Linked DNA regions of Macaca mulatta. The protein of the gene in region 4 interacts with the protein of the main gene of each other region in a pairwise test. Links are inferred from orthologs where the notes say so. Each region holds a gene or a part of one and is shown on either strand. Other genes may lie near its edges.

The links.
Region 1: the proteins of KRT40 (region 4) and CCDC185 interact in binary tests that used the Homo sapiens proteins (3 or more experiments, as listed by UniProt). The two-hybrid records come from large-scale screens. The link is inferred for Macaca mulatta from reciprocal best matches to the Homo sapiens genes KRT40 and CCDC185.
Region 2: the proteins of KRT40 (region 4) and SHFL interact in binary tests that used the Homo sapiens proteins (3 or more experiments, as listed by UniProt). The two-hybrid records come from large-scale screens. The link is inferred for Macaca mulatta from reciprocal best matches to the Homo sapiens genes KRT40 and SHFL.
Region 3: the proteins of KRT40 (region 4) and AP1M1 interact in binary tests that used the Homo sapiens proteins (3 or more experiments, as listed by UniProt). The two-hybrid records come from large-scale screens. The link is inferred for Macaca mulatta from reciprocal best matches to the Homo sapiens genes KRT40 and AP1M1.
Region 5: the proteins of KRT40 (region 4) and DLGAP2 interact in a two-hybrid assay, tested with the Homo sapiens proteins (2 studies listed by BioGRID). The link is inferred for Macaca mulatta from reciprocal best matches to the Homo sapiens genes KRT40 and DLGAP2.

What each region holds. Positions count from the first base shown.
Region 1 is NC_133406.1:81,268,382-81,272,660, reverse strand, and holds the start of CCDC185 (coiled-coil domain-containing protein 185), read right to left. Parts: upstream 2,820-4,279; 5' UTR 2,658-2,819; intron 195-2,657; 5' UTR 1-194.
Region 2 is NC_133424.1:10,799,947-10,804,057, reverse strand, and holds the end of SHFL (shiftless antiviral inhibitor of ribosomal frameshifting protein), read right to left. Parts: intron 4,073-4,111; coding exon 4,034-4,072; intron 3,832-4,033; coding exon 3,682-3,831; intron 2,521-3,681; coding exon 2,417-2,520; intron 2,311-2,416; coding exon of another isoform or gene 2,295-2,310; coding exon 2,140-2,294; intron 1,700-2,139; coding exon 1,467-1,699; 3' UTR 1,180-1,466; coding exon of another isoform or gene 989-1,179; 3' UTR 519-988; downstream 1-518. Other genes in the region: ANGPTL6 (angiopoietin-related protein 6), read left to right, coding at 1-71, 145-415, 989-1,179.
Region 3 is NC_133424.1:16,685,875-16,689,393, reverse strand, and holds part of AP1M1 (AP-1 complex subunit mu-1), read right to left. Parts: intron 2,621-3,519; exon of another isoform or gene 2,109-2,620; intron 1,930-2,108; exon of another isoform or gene 1,910-1,929; coding exon of another isoform or gene 1,882-1,909; coding exon 1,814-1,881; intron 241-1,813; coding exon 110-240; intron 1-109. UniProt on the Homo sapiens protein: Subunit of clathrin-associated adaptor protein complex 1 that plays a role in protein sorting in the trans-Golgi network (TGN) and endosomes.
Region 4 is NC_133421.1:65,362,775-65,365,377, forward strand, and holds part of KRT40 (keratin, type I cytoskeletal 40), read right to left. Parts: coding exon 2,586-2,603; intron 1,428-2,585; coding exon 1,266-1,427; intron 1,187-1,265; coding exon 1,061-1,186; intron 1-1,060. UniProt on the Homo sapiens protein: May play a role in late hair differentiation.
Region 5 is NC_133413.1:2,258,767-2,261,246, forward strand, and holds the end of DLGAP2 (disks large-associated protein 2), read left to right. Parts: intron 1-422; coding exon 423-641; 3' UTR 642-1,979; downstream 1,980-2,480.

The DNA.
Region 1 (4,279 bases), on a different chromosome or scaffold from region 4:
GCACGCGCAGAGTCTGCGCAAGGGGTCTGAGACCTCCAGAGGACGCTGCAGACACCCGCCCCGCCCCCCGGTCCCGAAGTCGGGGTCGCCTGTGACGCTCCGGCCACTTCACAATGCGCCTGGCAGCTGGGTCCCCGCAGTCTTCAGCCCTTGCCCGGCGCCGCCCACCCCAGTTTTGCTAGCACTCGGAGCACCTGGAATGGGAAGGACAGGAGGCTGGAGATGGGGGTGGTGGGGGTCGGGTGGGGGAGAAAGGGGTTGCAGGTTGGAGGAGGGAATATGTGGGAAATCAGGATGATATTTAAAGATGAGGGTGCATAGTGTCCCCCCACCAGTGTTTCAGGGAGAAATTTGAACTCGCATTTGCACACAAACAGCAGGATTTTAAGAGAGCCCGGGTGAAGGCGTCACCCTCAGAATAAAAAGGGTGGGGAGAAGGGCCAAGGTGCAGTTTCAGGGAGGAGATAACCTCAGCTGCAGAACCACCGTCCTGCACGTGTGTACCTCTGCAACATGGTCAAATAGAGCGGCTGTGGACGCACATTAATATGCGACACCATCCATTTGCCGTTTTAAATTAGCAAGCCCAAAGTATGCTTTAATGTTAACTTTTAAAGATTTTTAGAAAAGGAAGACAACGACTCTATTTTCTAATATGGTAATTACTGCTTTTGTCAAAATATGAATGCTGCGTGCACATTTCTGAAATAGCATCAGTGAACACCATGTTGAAATCACATTTTTCCCCCTTTTCCTCGAATTTTGTGGGATTCTTGTTCCTTGTTGAGGCACCCTTGGCTAATGGGAAAAACACTGGATCTGGTAGAGAAAAAGAATTTGAATCTCCTCTACCACTCTTCACTCATGGGCTCTTGGGCAAATCCCTTAAGTTTCCATGACCTCCAGTTCCAGCAAGATGGAGTGGGAAGCCGGGCTCATCTTACCAGCATTGCAGGACTGTTGTGAGGATCAGACGAAATGATGCATCCAGAGGTTGGCACCAGAATACATTCAATAAATATCATTTTGGTGCCATGCTAAGCGTCAGTTAAAAGTTTTAAGAATTGGGTTGGGTGGTGGTTCATGCCTGTAATCCTAGCATGTGGGGAAGGCAAGGCAGGAGGATCCCTTGAGCCCAGGACTTAGACCAGTCTGGGCAACATAGAGAGACTCTGCCTCTATATAAACATTTTAAAAATTAGCTAAACATGTGTGTGCATTTGTAGTCCCAGCTATTCCGGAGGCTGAGGTGGAAGGATTGCTTGAGTCCAGGAATTTGAGGCTGCAGTGAGCCATGATTATGTCACTGCACCCCAGTCTGGGCAACAGAGTGAGACTTTGTCTCAAAAACAAAGTGTTAAGACTTAAAGTAATATATGAATTTACAAATATTTCTGCAGATTTCTAGCTTAAGGAAATAATGCAATTAATGTAATCTTAAAATAGTTTAAGTAAAGGATAGAGTGCTAGAAAGGGGTGACTCCAAGCTCTGTCATGTTCACATCATACTGTGGATCCTGGCTAAGTCACTTCCCTTCCCTGGGGTTGCTATGGTCTGAAGGTTTGTGTTTCCCCCAAATTCTTAAGTTAAAATTCTAACCCTTAAGGTGATGGTATTAGGAGGTGGGACCTTTGGGAGGTGATTAGGTCATACAGGTGGAGCCCTCATCAGTGGGATTAGTGCCCTTATAAAAGGAGTCCCAGAGAACTCCCTCATCCCTTCTGTCATGTGAGGACACAGTGAAAAGATGGCCATCTCTGAACCAGGGAGATGATCCTCACCAGACACCAAATCTGATGTCTTGATCTTTGGCTTCTTAGCCTTCAAAATGGTGAGAAATAAATTTCATTCATTTATATGCCACCAAATCTGCGGTATTTTGTTAATAGCATCCAGAAGAGACTAAGGCAGGGTTGCAATGAGGAAACAGTTCTGGATAGCATTCTCCAAGTATGACCATTCCTTAAAGAAGAAAAATGAGTATTTACCCACACCAATCCTCTTCATTCACGTCTCCTTGAAGCATCACAGCAACCCCAGCTAGGAAGGACCAATAGCCTTGACAATATTTTCCACTGGACAAATCTAAGACTTGGCCATATTAACTGATTTCCCCAGAGTCACTTGGTCAATGGCAGGAGTTTTGACTTCAGATTTACTTCTCTTTCCATGATAGCGTGCTGCCTGCCTCTTGGGGAATGCACTATAAATTGAGCCATGCTTTTAGGAAAATTATGATCTGATATACAGCAGAAGGTCATGGACACCATGTCCTTAAAGCCATGTGGTAGCAGCCTTAACTACAGTGGAAGGAGCCACTCTGCCTGATTAGGATCTCACCAGCATGTCTATAGCTGGGGATAAGAAGTTTTCTACCCTAGATTTTATTGGCACCATTTGTATCCCATTAAATAAATTATTTTATGTGAATATAGCCCTTACTAGATGGTAATTTCAAAAGTAAACCAAATTTGAATGGAATCATTTAACTTTTGAAGTTAGGAAATATTTTTACATGTATTGAGTTGTGCTGATAGCTGAGTGTCATATCTCTCTGTTGAAGCTTTGTAAAACATTTTGCAGGGACAGGTGTGGCTCTGGTCAATACCCAGGCTACTCCCACAGAACAGTGTTATGTGGGTGAAAGTATACCCACCTGAAAACCAGGAGACCTGCCACCAGCCAGTTCTGCTACCAGCTGAGTCACCTGAGAAGTCATTTCACCTATGTCTTGGTTTCCTCATCCCTGTAAAGTCTCTTTCAGTCCCAAATGCAGCTGGAGAAAGGGTTCAATCTAGTAAATGCTTCAGCCTTTGTTCTGTAAAGCAAAAATGAGTTAATCCATGAAAAACGCTTACAGCAGTGTCTGTCTGCATGTGGTAGCTGCCTTATAAATATTAGCCATTAGAATAATCATTATCATTATGCCAAGAGCACTAAAACCATGGCAGTGTAGAGCTGAATTTAAAGACTTAGTTTGGGATGGAGCCAGAATGAGAACCCAAGGGCTCAGATTTCCAGTTTGGGGCTCTTTGACTTCTTGCTTCCTCTGAAGATTCTCAGGATTCCTCAGGGAATTGTGTATGGCTCACTCACCTCTGCTGACACTGGAATAAAGGACAGAGTCTTCACTGCGTAATGTCACACAAATTTATTGATAATCTGGGCCAGGATTAAAAAGATGATATTGCTAAGAGAAACAGTTCTAGGTAGCAGATGTTGTAAGTGGTTAAATAGTTCACCTTAACAGAATTCCCAGGGGAGAGTGGGGGTGTGCTCTGTCCGAATTTTTTATAAGAGAGGGCTCCATACGGATGATACTGGAGTGAAACCTGGAAGGACAATTAGGATTGTCGAGACAGGGATGAGCAGGAAGACACCAGGCCGAGGAAGCTGCTTGGGCTGCAGTGTGGAGCCTCAAATGCCTGGCACATTGGGGTCATGTGTGATTTGTGTAGCAGGGGCATGGGGAGTGTGCGCGAGTGAAGTGGCAGGTGATAAAGCCAGAAAGGTGGGCTGGGGCACATTCTGTAGGGCCTGCTATGCCAAGCCAGGAAGCATAGACGTCCTCCCACTGGGCTGCAGCATCCCAGCTGTGTCCAGAAGCGCTCCAGGATTCCCCCAGAGCTGCATTGGGCCCAGAGGGGCGGGGCTGGAGGACTTTAGGGCAGGCTCTGAGGCCTCCGTCCTTGCTTTACCCAGGGCAGCTTAGACTTTATCTGTTTTATATCTTGGGGCTCCTTGTAACACTTCACTGAAAAAATTTGGGGTTCTCCTATTTCAATCCTTTTTTATGAGAGTTGAAATCCACTGTGTAGATCACAGCAAGGCGTTAAGAAAAGTCTTGAAACCAGGAAAGTAACCCAATGGGATCTAGATTTTAGAAAGTTCATCCTGGCAGCAGCGTGCATGATCAATTAGTAGGCTGGTTCAGCAGTCTGGGTGGGCAAAAAGGAAACGTAAACCAGGGCAATAGCCATGGGACAAGAAAGGATGGATTGGAGAAACAGGTCAGAGTTTGAGGGTTCCTGGCATTGGGATGCTTTGATATGGAGAAGGAGAGTTTCTAAACCAAGTGGTAGTGATAGCAGATCTCCAGTGTAGGTGATCTTGAAGACAACAATCTTGGAAATTTGGTAAAAGAAGTTGTAATAACAAGTGAACCCCACACAGAACAGCAAATAGAATGTCTGGAGTAAACCACCAAAACTTGAAAGAGAAACCTTTTCCTTTGAGGGGCCTGGTGGGGAAGCTCCAAGCCTTGGCACATTGTCACAA
Region 2 (4,111 bases), on a different chromosome or scaffold from region 4:
GAGGCTGGACTGTGATCCAGCGGAGGCAAGATGGTTCAGTCAACTTCTTCACTACCTGGCAGCACTATAAGGTGGGCACAGGTGGGCAGAGACAGGGAAGGGGAGGGAGCCTGTTCTGGCTTCCTGACTTTCCTGCCCTGCCAGGCGGGCTTTGGGCGGCCAGACGGAGAATACTGGCTGGGCCTTGAACCCGTGTATCAGCTGACCAGCCGTGGGGACCATGAGCTGCTGGTTCTCCTGGAAGACTGGGGGGGCCGTGGAGCACGTGCCCACTATGATGGCTTCTCCCTGGAACCTGAGAGCGACCACTACCGCCTGCGGCTTGGCCAGTACCATGGTGATGCTGGAGACTCTCTTTCCTGGCACAACGACAAGCCCTTCAGCACCGTGGATAGGGACCGAGACTCTTATTCTGGTAAGGAGAACTCTTATTCTGGTGGGAGGATAGGGGAGGTGGGACTCCTGTTCTGGTGAGGGAATGAAAGGAGGTAGGGTAGGTAAGACGCCCCTCTGGTAAGTAGTAGGATAAGCAAGCTTTTATTCTGTCAAGAGAACAAAGGTCAGGACTTTTATCCTGGTGGGGGTATGGGGAGTCCAGATTCCTTCTCTGATGAGGCAAAAAAAGAATCAAGACTCCTGTTCAAGTGAAGGGCAGAGGGTGAGAGCTAGTACTCTTATCTAGAAAGGAAGTAGGTAATTTTCTTTTCTTTGATAAAGGAATGAGTGGTAGACTCCTAATTTGCAGAAAAAGTGGGAAAGGTGTGACTCGTACTTTGGTAAGGAGATAGGGAAGGAATTAAGGCTATTACTCCGAAGAAAGTTGGGGGGCCAGGGCTCCTATTTTTTTGCTGAGGAGATGGAAGATCAGGGCTTGTATTAAATAAGAATGGGAGGGGCCAGGGGATACCTGGCAAAAGCCTTGCACTGTGAGGTGCAGGTAGAGACTTTTATTCTGGTGAGAGGACATGGACTCTCTCTCTCCCCTCAGGTAACTGTGCCCTGTACCAGCGGGGAGGCTGGTGGTACCATGCCTGTGCCCACTCCAACCTCAACGGTGTGTGGCACCGTGGCGGCCACTACCGAAGCCGCTACCAGGATGGTGTCTACTGGGCTGAGTTTCGTGGTGGAGCATACTCTCTCAGGAAGGCCGCCATGCTCATTCGGCCCCTGAAGCTGTGACTCTCTGTTCCTCTGTCCCCTAGGCCCCAGGGGACATTGGTCAGCAGGAACTCAAGTTGTCCTGGCCACACCTTCTTTGTGGCTCAGTGCCAGTGTGTCCCACAGAACCTCCCACTGTGGATCTGTGACCCTGGGTGCTGAAAATGGGCCCCAGGAATCCCCCCCTGTCAATATCTTGGCCCCAGATGGCTCCCCAAGGTCATTCATATCTCGGTTTGAGCTCATATCTTATAATAACACAAAGTAGCCACAGACCGTGTCTGGTTTGTATCTGCACCTGGCAGGGGTCACTCCCTGGGCCCGCCCTCCTCGTCCTCCACCTCTTCCTCTTCCTCCTCCTCCTCCTTCAGGTCCTCCAGGATGAGGTTGTCCAGGTCTTCCAGGAGGCCGCCCTGGCTCAAGCAGGTGGCCACAGTGGAGCCACTGCTAATGTGAGGGTTGCTGGGGTGGAGCACTTTGGGCAGGTGGTTCTGCTTCCGGCTCTTGGGGTGAGCACAGGATGTCCCAGGCACGTGGGGCTCTAGGGAGGGAGAGGTGCTGCAGACATGGGACTCCAGGTCCCATGAGAGTTTGGGCAGGAGGGGGCTGAGGCCACGAGGGGCTCTAGGGAGGAGCTGAGGCCACAATATACGGGGACCAGCACAACTGGACATTCAGGGGTGTTGAAGATACAGGAGACCTGGGGACATGGGGGGTCACCTGAGATTACAGGGGACAAAACAGGGGCCCCAAACCCAGAGACCATGGGGGCAGAGGCCATGGAGACCCTCAGGCATGGGCCACTGGGGTGAAACCTCAGAGCCTCGTGGGCAAGACCACGGAGACTGGGGGGCCATGGAGGCCACGTAGAAGCAGTGGCTGCTGCTGTGGGAGACGAAGTGGACTGAGTGGAGATTTGGGGACTTAAAGGCACAGAAGGGGACAAAGACTGCCCAGGATGTTGGAGGAGAAAAGCCTCACCTCGCCGGTTGTAGCAGTCGGCGGCCGAGCAGGAGTGAGTGTGGGTGCTGCGGCGATCCGGGTCCCGGTCCCAGCGCGGGGGGAGGATCCGTGTTGGATACACGGGGAAGCCGCACCCGTAGCAGGGGGACGGGGACCCCATCTGTGCCCAGCCCCTGGGGGCGGGCAGGGCTGTGAGGGTCCGAGGGCGAGGCTGGGCCAGGGTGGGGCCAGGGCAGGGAGGGGCAGGGCTGGGGTGGGGCAGGGCTGAGGGGGAGCTGGGGGTCAGCGCCCTCACCGGAAGTTGTGCCGACACTTCGGGCAGTGGAACTCAGCCAGGCCCCACATCTTGTCAGCTGGCACTGGCTCGTAGCGCTTCCGGCATTTCCGGCACCGGGATACCTGGTGGTGGTAGGGCGGGGCGTGCAGAGAGGGGACCAAGGATTGTCAGAGGTGTCTGAGGTTGGGGTCAGGGCTAGAAGTGTGCTGCAGTGGCTGGCCTCAGCTTGAGCAACCCAACTCAATCAGTGACTTCACATGGGTAGCCTCATATTGACCATGGTGGGAATACTTACACCACAGAAATTGGCAAACACTACACATCTTGGCTTCCTGCCTCTTTTGCAAGAACTAATTAAGCATTGACCAGAAGCGAACTACTGGTCAGGACATTCAGAGGCCAGATTTGGGGCTGTGTTTTTGAGGTCAGATTTGGTTTCTTTTCTTTCTTTCTTTCTTTTTTCAGAGACAGAGTCTCACTCTGTCATCCAGGCTGGAATACAGTGTTGTGATCATGACTCACTGCAGCCTCCACCTCCTAGGCTCAAACGATCCTCCCACCTCAGCCTCCTGAGTAGTTGGGACCACAGGCACACACCGCCACTCCCAGCTAATTAAAAAAAATTTTTTTGCCAGACGCAGTGGCTCATGCCTGTAATCCCAGCACTTTGGGAGGCTGAGGCGGTAGATTGCTTGAGCTCAGGAGTTTGAGACCAGCTTGGGCAACATGGCAAAACCCCATCTCCACACACACACACAAAATACAAAAATTAGCCAAGTGTGGTGGCGCAGGCCTGTAGTCTCAGTTACTTGGGAGGCTGAGTGGGGAGGATCATCTGAGCCCAGGAGGTGGAGGCTGCAGTGAGATATGATCCCGCCACTGTACTCCAGCCTGGACGACAGGGCGAGACCCCATCTCTTCAAAACAAAAATTTTTTTGGAGCCAGGGTCTCACCCTGTCACCCAGGCTGGTCTCAAACTCCTAGGTTCAAGCAGTCCTCCCCACTTAGCCTCCCAAAACACTGAGATTGCAGCCATGAGCCACTGCGCCTGGCCAGGTTTGATTTCTGTAGTAGCTGTTCAATTGTGGGGTCAAGGGTCAGGCTCTGGGGTAAGGAGGTATTGGACTTCTCACATTTAAGGTCAGGGGTTGGGATCAAGATGAAGGCTGAGCTCTGAGTTTGGAGGTCAGTGATGGAAATCCTTAGGTCAGAGGTACAGTCACTGAGGATGGGAGTCAGGAGTGGAGTTCGGGACAGTCAAGGTTAAGTTGTGGGTCACTACCTCCTTCCTCTGGGGCACGCGGCGCCACCAGACGTGGTCGCAGGAGGAGCAGGCAAACTGCCGGTCCACAGCAGGGATAAGGTCGTCCTGGGCACGTTGAAACATGCGTAGGTTGGCTTCTGTCAGCGGCAGGAGGGAGGTCGCCACTGCCTGTGGAATGGGGCAGGTGGGGATGAGGTGGAGGGGGGTCACCCCTTCTGCACTAGCATAAGCATCAGCCCTCCTCTCCCTACAGACAAGTCCTCCTCCTGCCCCAGTGAATATCTCCCCTCCTGCCCTAATGGACATCCTTCCGTGCCTGCAGATGTCCCCCTCCCCACTTCCCCATCTCAAGCCCTAGCCACCAACTCACCTGAATGTCCCGGTCCTGTTTCATATCTTCTGGTGGATCCTGGGTGGAGATAGCAGGGGCATAAACTGGGATGGGGCT
Region 3 (3,519 bases), on a different chromosome or scaffold from region 4:
GTGGGGGACAACACAAACACAAATTTGCCCCTTCTGTTTCCACACCTGATGACATCAATATCATGACACTGCCCAGGCCTTGCCCCAGGCCCCACCCTTGCCCACTCACTCCTGCAGGATCTTGCTGTCGGTGGTCTGGGGGTAGCCGAAGTCCATGAGCTCATCCAGCAGCTCGTAGATGATGACAAAGTTGTCCCGGATGCTCTCCTCCTCCAGCTCCTTGAAGTACTCGGAAAACACCTGTGGCGGTGAGGGAGGGAGGGAGGGAGGGACGAGAGGCAGATCGTTGAGCAGACAGATGAGGAATGAATGAACGCTTGCACACATTCATTTGCCCACTAAGTCCTACCAACAGCCCACTTCCCAGGCTCAGTGGCGTGCTACAGGCCCTGGACCCAGGTAATGGGGCAGGAGGACAGCAGTGGTTGGCTGTGGGGTGGGACCAGTCTGGAGCTGCTACAGATGTCCCCGTTCTCTTCCCTGCCCAGACACCCCCAGGCAGGGAGCCCCTCCTGAGCAACTGTAACTGTCATCCCTTCCTGAGTCTGGAGTGACTCAGGCGAGGACCTGATGAGCTACCATCTTCCCCATTTCAATGGAAAGCTCAGAAGGTTAAGGAAGGGACGCCAAAGAAGAGGGGCTGTTAGAAGCACTTTTGCAGGCACGAATGCTGAAGGAAGGGGCGTCACTAAAGCAGAAAGGAACTGCCCAACCCTTGGGTGAGGACCTTCCCCTTCCCTCATCCCCCATCCTCTGATCTGCTGACCCCATGCGCTTTAGGACTGTGATCGCCCGGCCCCTGCTTGGAAATCACAGGTGTCATAGCCAGGCCCAGCCCTGCCTGTGACAGCACCACGGGTCCAGTGAAGCAGCCCTTGGCCTGCACGCGGGGCCTTCCCAGATGACCCTCAGCTCCTTCCCCAAGCCCTCACCGCCCAGGCTTGCCCCTGTTCCCCAACATTCTGCACAGGCGGCATCAGTGAGGGATGAAAGCTTTCCCAGGCCCAGCACAGGCCTCCTGGGTCCTATTCCCCACTTTCTTGAGCCCCAGAGCCCGCCCCGGCCAGGCTCATCCTCTCCAGGAAGCCAGCAGCAGCCTCCTCACTGGCTTCCAGGCTGCCTTCAAGTCCTCCTTCTGCTCAGCAGCCAGAGAGGCTGCTTTAGATCAAACCATGTCTCGTCAGTCTCCTGCTTAAAGCCCTCCACCACCTTTCATCAGAAGTGGAACAAAATCCACACTCCTGTATAACCTGCCCTCTTCCCAGCTGACCTCAGCTTTATACTCTGCCAAAGGCATGCCGGCCTCCCTGGCCGCACCACACACACACCTGTCCCAGGACCTTTGCCCTGGCTGCTGTCTGCATCTCACTGGCAGCCTGGGCCTGGCGTGTCAGCTCTCTCCAAGGTGGGCCTCGGGCATCTGTGCCTTGAGAGCCCCCTGGGACATTCTAAGCTGGCTCAGCTCTGCAGCTCTGCTGGTTATTCCAGCCCCATCAGCTGGTCACCCCATATCCTTCCAAAGCTGGCTGGGGGACTTGCTTGTCCCTTCCAGGGTCAGGGCACCACTGCTCAGCCCCACCTTTTCCTGTTCACTTTCCTTTCTTCCCCGGGGTCAGGGAGCAACACGAGCTACAGAATTCCACAGGCATGGTGGCGGGGTTTGGGGCTCCCCTTTGCCACTTCCTGGGGTTCCAGCCCCAGCACTCTCTAGGGAGGCCACGGCTGTCTCTAAGGTGGCCGGGTATGGGGAGATCCACAAGCAGAGCCAAGACAGCTGCCACTCAAGCCCACAGCCCCGCTGAGCGAGACTCACCTGCACCACCTTATAGAGGAAGGAGAAGACCAGCGACACGCACGCATTCTTCTTGGATGTGGCAACCACTGCACGGTGGTCACAGTTAAGGAGCATTCAGAGGCTGGGGCTGCTGCCTGGAAGATCCCGGTTCATGGAGGGACCCTCTAACCCTCACAACCCTCAGAGCCTTCCCTACCCCCACTCCCAGCCGTTTACCTGGCCCATGGTCGGCTACCAAGCTCCTGGTCCAAGCTACACCTGGGACACAGGAGTCACCAGAAGGACATGCTCCCAGGCCCCAGGGAGCACTCACCGACATAGAGAATCACAGGGATGGCAGGTGGCACAGGGCACCTGTCCCAGTGGCTGGGTGAGGAGTTGCCCTGAGCAGGGAGGGAGTGAGGCTCATTCGAGGAGCAGAAAGCAGGACACACTGGCCCTGCTCCTCCAAAGCCGACACCTCGTCATGACCCTGATGAGGTCCAGGGTCCCCTGGCCAGACTCTGCGGCAAGTAGCCAGGGCCAATTCTGGCTTCAGCCCTTCCTGTCTTTGGTAACACAAGCCTTGGCCCATGAAATAAACCTTTCTAGAGAAACCTCAATATTTCTCTCCTGTGTAATGGGGGCCTGTGAATGAACTCACCAAGGCAATGTACGTGAGATGTCTGGCACAGATGCTCCCTTCTGCCACGGGAGCCAGCCCCTGCCGCCCAGGGTCAGTGTGTGCTGGGCGCTTCCTGTTCCTTTTTCCCTAATGGGCCCCCAGAGAAGGCTGGTTCTTCCTCTGTAGGCCCACGCACTGCACCCCGGACATCCCTGTTCACAGCATGTCTGTGCCGCCTGGCTTGTCTGCCCAGAGGTGAGCTCTAGGAGGGAGGGCGGGGGCTGCATCCTCTCTTCCCGCCTCACCCCAGCACAGCACAGGGCCCCAGGAAAGGGACGCTGGCCCAGTCAAACGAGCGCTGGCCTCCCTCCTGCTGCCTGGCAATGTGCCCTCCCCAGATGCTTTATAAGCAGGGGCAGGGGTGCCTCTCAGCTTCATGGGTGCCATTCAGCCACGGCCTTGCTGAGAACTGTCCCGGCTGGGGGTGAAAGGATGTCCACTCAGCCAGAGGGGTGAGCCCAGGTGTGAAATGTGGGGGCCCAACCAGAAACTGATCTGACGGCTCCTGCTGAGCTCGGACCACAGCCACCTCACCCTCCTGTCAATACCTGGGCGGCTTCAGAGGACTGTCAGCTCCCTGGGTTAAAAGCCACCTAAGATCATCTTCAGAGCTATTCTCAGGGCCTTCCAGAACCAGGTGAAATACACACAGAGGCGCACCACAGGGAGCCGTGGACCAGCACGGCCCACATGGGAATGTGCACACGAGTCACCAGGAACAGATCTTCCTACAATGCAGATTCTGACAGGGCAGGGCTGGGTGGAGCCCGGGATTCTGCATTTCCAAAGGGCTCCCAGGGGATGTTCTGGCCCATTGGCCACACTGTACTACTGGCAAGGCCCCAAGTGTCTCCAAGAACACAGGAAAGGGCAGAGAGCCCATGCTGCTGGGAGCAATGTGCACAAGTCAGCTCAACTGACCCGAATGGTCCTGCAGCGAGGGGTCGTTGTTCCCACCAAACTGTGGGAAGGTGAGGGATTCGCCTCCAGCCCCATGGCTGCTGGAGCTGGGGCTCAAACCAGGCTGTGGCTGCAAAGCAGGCCCTTCCGCAGTAGTGTG
Region 4 (2,603 bases):
GGCTGGGAAGGGCATGTGTGTGGTAAGGGGATGAAGAGAGGTTGGTTAATGGGTGCAAACATACAGCTAGACAGAAGGAATACGTTTTCATGTTGGACAGCAGAGAAGGGTGACTACAGTTAACAACAATACACTGTGCATTTCAAAATAGCTAGAAGAGTGGGCTTGAAATGCTCCCAACACGTAGAAATGATAAATACTTGAGGTGATGGATGCTGTAAATATCCTGACTTGATCGTTACACATTCTATGCATGTTACAAAATAGCACATCTACTCCATAAATATTTACAAATATTGTATATCAATAAAAATAAATTTAAAAAGAGAGAGAGAAGAGGCTCTGGGATTCAACTGGCTGAACTCAGCTTCCAAGTTTGCCTCTTAGAATTGCATCCTTTGCAGGTTACTTAATCTGAGTCTCAGTTTTCCTTATCTGTGTCATGGGATAAAGGTATCTATCCCGTGAAGTTACTGTGAGGCTTAAATGAGCATAGTGCCTCTCACTGGATGAATGCTCAGCTATTGTTCTCCTAGGTATTCTCCGCAGGATCTAATGACATGCACACAGTGGTGCTTGACCAGAACTGGTTCATGTCATCTTGGACGCATGGTGTTCTTGTTGCTTGAGTGGGGTGGGGTACAGTGAAGGATCAGGTTGAAGTGTAGATCCTGTAGGGAAACTGTAGGATGAAATGTTTGAAAATGATTCTTTGTTTTAGATATAACAGTGAGCCTGGAAAACTGGCCTGAATCAAATGAGAATTAAAACCTGCTGGAATGCTTAAGTGACCATGGCCTGGAGGTTTCTCTCGCTCTGCTTCTCCCTCCCTGTCTCTGGAGGCTGCTGCAGCATCAGACTCAAGCCCAGGAGTGAAGGTAAGGCATCTTAGAGGGACAACACAAGCTGTGGACCTGTCACTTCTGCTTCTATTAATACTGGGTAAACGGCAGTACTTGGGAAAGGCAAGGAAATGTGATCCCTGGATATGGAAGAGGGCTTAACATCTCAGAGCCTGACTTATCAGTGACATAACGGACACTGCCTTTGCCTCACGCACCAGGCTTTGCTGTGCTTGGAGCTCAATTTCCAGAGCATTGGCTGTGCGTTTCAATTCCAAGATCTCCGTCTGGCAGCCCTGCAGCTGCTCCGCACTGGACAGTTGCTGCTGATTCAGCTCTTCTGTCTGAAACACAGGCACCATTAGAGAATTCACAAAAGGCGGAAGTCTGTAACCTTGCCATTTTTTCGATCTGGGTGCTGACCTGAACAGCAAACCATTCTTCGGCTTCTCTGCGATTGTTGGCAAGCACCGTTTCATACTGACAGCGCATCTCATCCAGGACCCTGTTGAGGTCAAGGGTGGGGGCAGTGTCCAGCTCCACACTGAGGCGGTCGCCAAGCTGTCCACGAAGCAAGTTGACTTCCTGAAAGTGGGATGGCATAAAGATGTCACAGAATGATGGGGAAAAATCCATTTGACATCCAATGGCATTCTACTTCTGTTTTGTGGAGTAGTAGGTAAAAGTGTGAGATTTTGATTCAGGTTGTCTGGGCTGAATCTCTTTTCACCACTTAGAAGGGCCTCAATTTCTTCGTCTGTAAAATGGACATAATAATCGGACATTTTTCCAGAAGGTTATTGTGAGATCTAGAAGAGTTAATCTACACATAATTAACTTATAAAAGTTAATTATGACACATAGTAAGGTGTCAATAAATGTTAGCTATGATTGTCATCAACAAATATTCAAAGAGCAAACGTACTTTGTTACATCATTCAGCTTTTCATTTTCTAGCTTTATCACTGTATTAATCACTTTATATTTTATGACTTTTAAAAGTTTATAAATGCGGAATATTTAAAAACACTGGTCCAGATAGTGCATGAGTCCTTATCCCTTTTTTGAAACGGACTTCATAGTCTGTTTCTCAGACTGATTTTCATACCCTGTGGATTGGAGCTAGGGGTGGCATAAAGCCTCCAAAGGAAGCCATTTGTGAAGTTACTCACCTCCTCCACAAAGGCAAGGGCAGGAGAAGAGTTTGGTTCCTTTGTCTGGCACTGTCTAGGGGCTATTTCACATGTTAATTCAGAGACACGCTGGAATGATCAGGTTGAATAGTAATAATGCCTCGAGTAGTTTTTCCGCTTTTTTGTTTGTTTGTTTTTTGAGATGGAGTCTTGCTCTGTTGCCCAGGTTGGAGTGCAGTGGCGAGATCTCGGCTCACTGCAACCTCCGCCTCCTGGGTTCAAGCTATTCTCCTGCCTCAGCCTCCCGAGTAGCTGGGACTACAGGTACCCGCCACCATGCCCAGCTAATTTTTGTATTTTTAGTAGAGATGGGGTTTCATCATATTGGCCAGGCTGGTCTCGAACTCCTGACCTTGTGATCTACCTGCCTCGGCCTCCCAAAGTGCTCGGATTACAGGCATGAGCCACCACGCTTGGCCCTGCCTGGAGTAGTTTTATTCCAGCTTAAGCAACATCTGCCCAAATTTGATTTACAAACATCAACAGATCATCTGTCAGTGTTAAGTACGTTACTCTCGGAGTCCTTCAGTGGCGTTGCCGCTTTCCTCACCTCTTCATGGTTTTTCTT
Region 5 (2,480 bases), on a different chromosome or scaffold from region 4:
GCGATGGTGTCCAAAACCCTCGCAGTGCCGAGCTTGGCGACGCAGGTATCGGCCGATGCTCAGAGGAGATGACACAGGGCTTCGGGAAGTGCAGGAATCAGGCAACAATGTCAGAATAACTCAGTGACTCCAGAGACGCAAGGCGCGAATCTGCAGAATGTATTTCCTGATTCGTGAACCCTGCCCCCAACACCTCTGCCCCCTTTGAATTCAGAGTGTGAGGGAGCTTCTAAAATTACATACTGTGCAGAAGGCAAGCCTGTGGCCTGGGAGTCAGGGACCAGGGGAAACGTGGGAAGGGAATGAAGGATGCTGCCACGGGGGTTGTGGTCGGGAAGGGTGTGGGCCAGACCCCAGGGACACTGAGCTGTTAAGGACCCACCTCCGACCACCTGCCAATGTTGACTTGTGATGCTTTTCAGGAAGAAAGAAAGGTCCCACCTCCAATACCAAAGAAGCCCCCCAAAGGGAAATTTCCCATCACAAGAGAAAAATCCCTGGACCTGCCCGACAGACAACGTCAGGAAGCCCGGAGACGACTCATGGCCGCCAAGCGAGCGGCGTCCTTCCGGCAGAATTCTGCCACCGAGCGCGCGGACAGCATCGAGATCTACATCCCCGAGGCCCAGACCCGGCTCTGAGGATGGAGGCCGGCCACCTTCCCCTTGGTTGTTCCTGCTTTTTCACAAAACGCTTGTACAGTTTGTTGCCTCCCTGGTGGTTTCTGTCATTTCTTCCACTGAACACGCCCTTGCTCTCATGCTCCTTGTACCGTGAACACAGTGGAATGCGGTCAGTGGCCTCAGAGTCCACGGAGCTCGTGGCGAGGACGACTTTTGTTTGTTTTTTTTTAACTGGTGGCCTGGCTCACACTCGGCTCTGAGGGACAGGCGTGGTGAGACCTGACTTCTCCTCCGTGTTCTCAGAGGACGGCGAGAAATGCCTCTGGAGCTGGAACCCAGCTTACATTTTGTTATTTCTATTTTTATAAATTGTGTGATAATTAGAGGTAAGAATAACAAATAACTATAAATGGGTGCATCTCACCACCCCCTAGAGGCATTAGACACCCAAGTGGAAGGTGCTACAACCTGAAGTGCAGGAAGAAAGGCCCATTCCCCTCGCACACCCGAGCTTTTGCTCCCTGAGCACAGGCAGCCCATCCACCCGCTCCGCTCTCCTGCTCCTGTTTGTCACAGGCAGAAAACATTAGGCTCCTTGTGTCCAGCTTACTGTGAGGGAAAGTTCTCTCTCCAGCCACCAAACTCCCCACCATACAGTTCTCCAGCATCCCAGGGGATGACAAATCTGAACCCACTAAAATACCCAGCACAGCATCTACACGTTGAAAAGATAAGCCGAGTGTTCCCACGAGGAGGTCACAGGCAGAGAGAGGAGAGTCTTACGGAGGGCTGGGAGCATAAAGGGGAAACAATGTCCTTACTTCTATGAAATAGTTATTGTATTTTTTATTTCTTTGTAACTTAAAATACGACACCCAGTATTTTCTTTAAGTTTCACCATTTACGCTACATGTGATTTTTTTAATGTATGTATATATATTCTCAAATTGTTCTATCAGCTGACTTTCCAGGGTATCCTTAAAAAAAAAAACCACGAAAAAAAAAAAACACAAAAAGTTTGCTTGTTTAAAATGACAATTGTGATGTTGTAAAAAGTTTCAGAAATATGAATGTGAGTGGTAAGTATATCTCAGTTTAAATGGTAAAGAAGAAATGTAGTTTACATTTGTATTTTTCCAGAATTATTTTGTCCAATGCAGTATTGCTTAAGTCAAGAATATATTCCTTGCCTGTGTTAGACCTGAAGGGAAAAAGAGGTCACATATTGTGATTTCCAGCTGTGGAATTCAAAAAAAAAAAAAAAATTAGTGTTCATGACTCTGTGGTCGGTGCCAGAGGAAAATAGGAACGACTAATAGGCTCTCCGTGTGTATCATTAAATTCAGCTGCCATGACCGTTGTTCCAACACGACTTGTTTCACAGTTCAGACCAGTCTTCGAAGGAAAAGCCTATCAGATTTTCCCACTGGGTTCCAGTTTCAGAGTCCTCGTTATTACTCAGAGTAAAAGCAGGACTGCGATGTAAGATGTTTCCACCCCAGTACCTGGTCTTCCTTCCCGGCTTAAGGAGTACCATGTACTTAGCCACAGGCAGAACCGCTTTCGAGGACGACCCATAGCACTTTGTTTCTTCACCTTGATTTGCACTTTACAGCGTCCCCGGCCCCTCTGCAGCCCGTGGCTGGCAGGGCGTTCGAGGCGCAGCTGTCCGGCAGAGCGCCCTCCAGAGCCGCGGGGTCTCCCTGCCTCATTCGCCACATCCCACGGAGCATGGGACCATTGGGAGCAGAGCTGATACTAAAGCATGTTTAGCTTCGAAGTTTTACTTTTTTAAAGCTGAGTAGTTAAGAATTCCCTGTAACAACAAAACCCTGTAAATTAAGCCTCGTATCTGGT